2 linked regions of the Schizosaccharomyces pombe genome follow. Changing the gene in region 2 together with the main gene of any one other region gives a genetic interaction. Each region holds a gene or a part of one and is shown on either strand. Other genes may lie near its edges.

The links. Genes that interact genetically often act in the same process or in processes that back each other up.
Region 1: mutations in bcp1 (region 2) and pvg2 together harm fitness less than expected from each alone (positive genetic interaction), as found in Schizosaccharomyces pombe (one large-scale study listed by BioGRID).

The regions. Positions count from the first base shown.
Region 1 is NC_003424.3:4,017,875-4,021,636, reverse strand, and holds the start of pvg2 (Golgi 4,6-pyruvylated galactose (PvGal) residue biosynthesis protein Pvg2), read right to left. Parts: upstream 1,763-3,762; 5' UTR 1,556-1,762; coding exon 386-1,555; 3' UTR 1-385. Other genes in the region: msm1 (methionine--tRNA (Met) ligase), read left to right, coding at 3,440-3,762. UniProt on the Schizosaccharomyces pombe protein: Involved in cell wall biogenesis. Has a role in the addition of Gal-beta1,3 moeities to galactomannans and their subsequent pyruvylation. Has a role in meiosis.
Region 2 is NC_003423.3:283,103-286,602, forward strand, and holds bcp1 (thioredoxin peroxidase), read right to left. Parts: upstream 1,715-3,500; 5' UTR 1,424-1,714; coding exon 836-1,423; 3' UTR 501-835; downstream 1-500. Other genes in the region: csc3 (WD repeat-containing protein), read left to right, coding at 1-446; SPOM_SPBC1773.03C (aminotransferase), read right to left, coding at 2,937-3,500. UniProt on the Schizosaccharomyces pombe protein: Thiol-specific peroxidase that catalyzes the reduction of hydrogen peroxide and organic hydroperoxides to water and alcohols, respectively.

The sequences.
Region 1 (3,762 bases), on a different chromosome or scaffold from region 2:
ATAAAAGTATCACAAACTTTACAGTTGAACAATAAATGAAGGATCGAATTTAAAAAACTAAGAAACAAGCTTTTCCTAGATCTGATAAAATAAAAAACTAAAAAAAAGAAAGAAAGACAATAGAACCATAGAACATTAAATGTAAAGACATAGTTGGCACATTAGAAAAACAAGCTGCAGGACAGTTCCACGACAGAAAATATTTGATTATAAAACGGATGCTTAGCAATAGTATTAAATAAAAACTATGATTAGGAAGAAACGCACATAACTGTAGGTGATACCTTAGAGAGAAAAAAAAAGTTAAAGGATCAAGTCAGGTTTATTGTTTGCTGAATGAAATTAAATTTGTGAAAAGATAAAAAGATGAAACATCATAATATCATCAAGCAGTTATCAAGTCGAATGAATTAGACCAGTATATGGCAAGTTCGTTCCCATCCGGTTTTGAACTGTGGCTAATGCAATAGTCAGGGTCAAACAGGGGAGAGTCGGCGAAACACATTTCAGAAGATTCTTCACTAGGAAGGAAGTCCCAAGTTGAAGCAAAGGCTTCTGTTGGGATAAAAATGATGTGAGGGTTATTCTTCACAAAAACTTTCCCGTCATCGATATAAGTGTTGACAAAGAATTCTTGCTCACGAATTGTAATAGACTCTCGGTTTTCTGCAAACAACGCTTCAGCTGCATCAAGACCATGATAGGGCCTTTTAGAAAGGATTTTTAATAAAACTTCCGACTTGCAAAGTTCGTTAATGAGAGAGAGAACAAACGGATGCTTAGGAGTAGCAATCATAAAGTCATACTGTAGGGACTTTGGGGCCATAAAAATCGGTTGGAACTCCTCAACAGTCGAAGATGTGATATTTTCTGTAAATTGTTTTACGGATAACTCCGCCGCATAAACAAATTTATCAATATTTTTTTTAAGCTGTAAAGAACGAGACATCCAAACACCGCCATACTCATACAATCCCAATAAAAATCCCCACTGATCTTTAGCTTCACGCGATAACTGAGACCAGGCATTATGAAGATTATGATATGATTTGTCAACTAATTCGTTTAAATCATCATGTGACCAACTAACAAAAGCCCAATTTGGGTGGCTTACGCGAAGTTCGACTTCAAATGCCGTGAATTGAGACAATTCAATGAAATTAGATCCCTTAATGGTATGAAATACCCTTGGAATTCTTCGATTCCATTGTCTCGCAACTCTATTCATACCCGTATCACGGTTATATGTGTAAAATAAGTGAGCAGAAATCGGTGGATCCAAACCGAACGTTGTACATTTGCGCGATTGCTCCAAATCATCCATGCACATTGCTTTTCTGTATATATCGATAGTAACGGTCTTAGATAGTTCCAATTCTTTTTCGCCCAATTCTTCAACGGTAAATAAGTTGGTTCTTTTATAGAAATTGATGCCTCCAAGTTGAATGGGACTGTATATTGCAAATAGAGCAGCGAAAGCAAATACCACTATTATTGATGGGATTAAAAGCCTTAATAATTTCTGGCTGAAAAAATTTACCCAGAGTTTAGTCATTTTTCCTCCTTTTTTCTGCTTATTTCACGTCGAATTCAATTTAATTTATACAGTATATTATAAGTGCAAATGAGCTTTAATGCATTTAAGGCGCAATTATTTCCACAGATTTTAAATAATTTAATAAGCGCCTGAGTTAGGAATTACAGATGAGTAGATAAAGGATTGTGAAACCAAACCGCACACTTCTTTGTCAGTATGGTTCGTACTAGAGTAGTGTGTTCAAAATGTCACAAAAACCGCGTCTTTGTGATTACAACTACGCTGCGTTTCATTATACTATTTTGCAAACTTATATTTGCAAATCACTATGTCATGGTTTTCCTAGGAAATGAGCAGGGCTTGCAATCAATGATTACAAATTGAAACTTTTACCGACCCATTTATTTTCTTATGAACGACCATCTTTTTAATCGAGGTTTAGATTCTCTTTTATAGTGTAGACATCCCAAAATATACCAAGTATGAACTTTGAAACTTCAGATTTTATAACGCATTCTCTTTGCACTACTGTAGATTATCTGATGCGTAGATATAAGATACTCAGTACATAGTAAGTATGTAAACAAAGCATCAAGAAAATACGAATTGGTTTTAAATGCTTTTATTTGTTGATTTATCCCTACTCAAAGCATCTATGGATTATCTGTTTTCTATAGTTCCTACAAATTCTATAATATTGTGCATTACATACAGTATTTTTTTTTTTATTTTTTAGATTCCAGCTATGTCCTACCCTATGACCGTGTGTGTAATTCTGAGGTTATCGTAGTCATTTAAGAACTCAGTTTATGTGTGTATGACTCAAATTCAGTTACTCTAAAAATGCAACTATGTAATGATTCCAACTAAATTTCTTATAACTTGTCAATTGCCTGCTATTGTAAGGATCGATTTATTCACTCAGTGATTCAGCTCAAAATCATTTTCAATAGGTATTTGAAAAAATTGAAGCAATAGTTAAACTTTATTAAATATTTAAAAAATATGTAAATAAAATAAAATTAGCCAGCATATGCTAGAATATCTTGTTTAAAAAAAATTTAATTAAAAAATTATTACAACAAATTTAAAAAAAAAAAAATATTGGAAAAAATTGAAACAGTAAATGGCACAAATTACTTTATTGCTAAACAAAGAAATATCCCGTGCAGCATCATTTTAAGGAATACATCATTATCTCTTTAAAAAAGCACTATTTCGAATCTTAAACACTTATCCTTCTTTATACCGTATATCGTAAAACAATTTCAAAGAAATTCAGCATTGATTCTTTATTCTATTTAATCATTGACATGAGTTTGATTTCGCATTGCTGGAAGATAAATACTTGAAGGTAATACAAAATTCGACTCGATCAATTCCTGAATGCAATCTTATTTTCTCACCTAATTTTTGTATACACTAGTTTCAATCTTTTTACTGTTTTTAGGCCTTTGTGAAGTGCTGCTAGAGCTCTTTTTGAAGAAACTATTATACAGTCAAAAAATACTAGCATTTGAATTAATTTGGGTCTATGCGTATACTAAATATCAGCTCCTAGTGTATCACTTGTCTTATTCTACCATTCTATTTTTAACCAATAAACGACTTAAACTACTGATTAGGAATTTTTACTAAGATATTAAATTAATCATATTAATCATGAAGAAAGCAATTATCCAAAACCAAGCTTAGTTTTCGATATACATACACCACTAACGTACGTCAAGGCACCGTCTGTGTCACTGTATTCTCCACTTGCTGGTTTCCCTGCTGTATTCTCAATGAATTAAAGAATTATATTCGTTTTCGATTACTAACGTTTACTGACAGCAGTCCTAAAATATACAAATTATTACTAACGTTGATCGCTAAACATACATACACGTCTTCTGAAGCAAGATGCTGCGCAAAGGGATTTGTAGGCTAATTCATCAAGTTTCAGAATCTTCTAAAAAACCTTATTTCCTTACAACACCTATTTTCTATGTCAATGCTGCACCTCATCTCGGTCACTTGTACAGTCTTGTGTTGACGGATGCCATTGCCAGGTTTCAAAATCTTAAACCCGATGTTTCCGTCATTTCCAGTACTGGCACTGATGAGCATGGTCTAAAAGTACAGACTGTTGCCCAAACCGAAGGTGTATCTCCTTTACAGCTATGTGATCGAAACTCAAAACGCTTTGCTGATCTCGCTGTCGCAGCAAATACAAAATTTACGCA
Region 2 (3,500 bases):
AAATTCTTGTAAGCCAAATGCGCATTGCTGGAAATTCTGCTATTGGTAATCCGGCTGTTAAAGACAGGATCAACAAGATCGTATGGAAAAATGGTAACCCTGATCGCTTATATTCTCTGCATGAAAATGGCATGGTGCGAGTGTTCGATGTAAAGAGTGAGGAATTGCTTGCAGAGAAATCGATTAGCAAAGTCTCTTTGACTGGTATTGCGTTTGCTGTAAATCGTCCGGAATTCGCGATTAGTGCATCTGATGGAAGAGTCTTTTTCTTGAGGCAGGACGATAAACTTTCAACTCTCGAAAGCTTACCTAGCAGAGAAGCTCAAGAGGAAATTACTGATTTATCAGATATTCTTTGGATCAACTCACCCGTCGATAAGTTGGAGCATTTGATTGTGGGCTGTAAAGAGCGAATTTCTGTTTACGACCGCAAATATTTACCATAAAGCACTAACAAAGATAAACGAATACAGGAAGATTTCCCTCTTTTTATGAAACTTCCAACTTTTCTAATCAAAATGAGTTATTTGTTAAAAAATAATGATTTACGATTTCTAACCGTAATGAACCAAAAATCTACACCGTTGCTGGAGCTATATTTGTATTAGATATACGGCAACTATTTAATCTAATCTCAACGTTACTAAAATAAGAACAACACTAACTTGGACCATCAACTTGTATAAAATTGTGTAGTGATCATATTTGAATGTATCTTCAGGGTTGAAGCACATTGTAGCAAGACATAAAAAAGTGTAATTTCATCATGAATCATATAGCAATAGGCATGTAGACTATCCTCCAAATTTGACAATGAGCGTAGACAATTTGTCAACTAAGGTTCAGAATCAGTGATTACAGCAAAGGCTTTGTCAACACTGACAAGAGGTGATATGTCAATTTCCTTCACTATGCATTTGCCAGTACCTTTCTCAAAGATCCAATGGCTTCTAAACAGCTTTCCACCACCAGGCTTCTCAGCGCCTAACTTTTTAATTAGCTCACCTTTAGGATCCGAAAGCAAATGATAAGGAAAGTTTTGCTTATCCTTGAAAGCTTTTTGAGCTTTGCTAGTATCGAAAGACAACCCTAAAACTTCATAATCAGAGGCCTGTATCTTAGGATAGTTATCACGAAAACCACAACCTTGTTTCGTGCAGCCAGGAGTACTAGCTTTTGGGTAGGCAAAAATTACAAGCCCTTTATTTGCAGTAATATCGCGAAGTCGAATGGAAGTTCCATCTTCGTCAGGCAAAGTGATATCGGGAATTACGTCTCCCACTTGAATAGTTGAATCAACTGATTCATCTTTTGCAGGCTTTTTCAGCATTACTGGAGCAGCTTCAGGAATAATCGTTCCTTTGCTATCCAAGACGTTTGCAATCTTGGCTGCCAATCTGCTAGATCTTCTGGGGGCGTCCATTGACAGGCTTAAAGTGTGCAAGAAAAATGCTAGAGGGGAAGGAGAAAGGTTGATGCAGAGCTGCAGTATATAAATTTATATTCTAAACAACACCTGTAAAACCAAAAACGTTGGTGTCAATGCTGATCAGTATTAAATCGCTTTAACTTGTAAAGGCTAGATAAAATGATCAAAGTAGTGAAACTCTGTTCAGGATGAAGTACTCTGAACTTTTTACTACTCAACTTTCAGAATTTCGGTACCAAAATAAAAACAATTTTACAATAACACCTGAGATTTTCTTTCTGGTGTAGGAAGAAAGTACAGGTAGTGAAGAATCACGACATAAATATTACCAATTTGTTAGCTTCGCTTTGATATTACTTTACAACATTACCAATGTGATCCCGTAAAATCGTATTTAGCGTATTTAGCTGACCTTTCAAACGATCGATAGGGAACCGATCTTCCCCTGCTTATACAATCGGAATAGCTTTGCATCCTACTATGACTAAAGAATGTTTTCTTTCATAAAATTTCTAGTCAAATCATTATTAACATGGTGTCGTTTTTACTAGTATGGCTTTAAAAAATGGTCTTTCGTAAACTGTAACAGCATTTTCTCTGATTGTCCGTCTCGACAGCGTTACAGAAATATAAATAAAATAACAATTAATTTATTAACAAATTTCAAATATCTTTTGTTCGTCAATTGTAGAACGGATCCATCAGCTAGGAACTGATTTGCATGCAATGTCAATGTAGCAATCGTAGTAAAGATTCTAAGGAAGTAAGCCAAGACTATAAAACATGATGTTAGCAAGCGAGGCTATCGTCTTTATTAAACTAACATTGCATTTTTTTTATAAAAAGGCTAAAAACATTGCATCGACCGGGAGTCGAACCCGGAGCTAATGCTTGGAAGGCATTGATGTTACCGCTACACCATCGATGCTTGGATGAAGAGGTAAAATAATAGACATATATTACTTTAAAATTAAACTTGTATCGAAGTATTAGCAACTGGTTCTACATTATGAAAATAACCCAAAAACAATCCAAACTGTTTGGCTAATAATGTGTCTATTTATTATACATTAAATAGTTGAAATTATGGTATACTGCCTACTATGCTTGTAATATACTATAAATGTGTAATGTATAATAAAATGGGCATGTGGTGTAGATGGTTATCACGCTTCCTTAGCATGGAAGAGGTCCCAGATTCGAGTTCTGGCTTGTCCAAGTTTTTTTTTGTTTTTTACGTTTGTTGATTCAAACTATATAGAAACGCGTTTACGCAGAGAACATGTTTTCAAATGATTGCGAGCCATCGTCTACCCTATAGCCGTATGGAATTATCAATTTTATTACAACGAAGGGTCGTAGCGGAGAAAGTATATTAATGCATTGTAAATTCATTTCATATAAAATTAATTATTATACCATGACCAAAGGTCTTCTAACATAAGTATATCCAAATTATCTGAAACATTATAACTGATAAAGAGGAATTTCGTTAACTTGCGTACATTCAAGGAAGGGCCGCAACTGTAGATGTAATGGTTTTGCTAAGAGCCTCCACTAGTTCATCTATTTGCTCGCGAGTGATAATATACGGAGGAGCCAGCAATACGTGGTCTCCTCTGGTGCCATCAATTGTACCCATGCCTGGATAAACGAAAACACCATGCTCGCAACCTATTTTGTTGGCGAGAGAACCAACTTTGTATTCAGGAGGGAAACATTCCTTGGTAGCTTTGTCTTTAACGATCTCGAGTCCCCAAAACAAACCGCGGCCTCGAATATTTCCCACGTTGGGATGAGAGTCAAAAGTCTCATGTAATTTTTCCGAAAGGTATTTACCCATTTCTGCTGCCCTTTCAACAAGATGATCTCGTCTTAAAATAGTTTGCACCGCCAGGGCAGCAGAACAAGCAATTGGGTGGGCTTGATATGTAAAAAAACCAGCCATGGCAGCATCTTTTTGCTCAAACACGTTCATAATACGATGACCAACAAGCGCTCCAGAAATGGGTTGATAACCACCTCCTAAACATTTGGCAATAGATTGAATGTCAGGTGTCACACCCTCTTG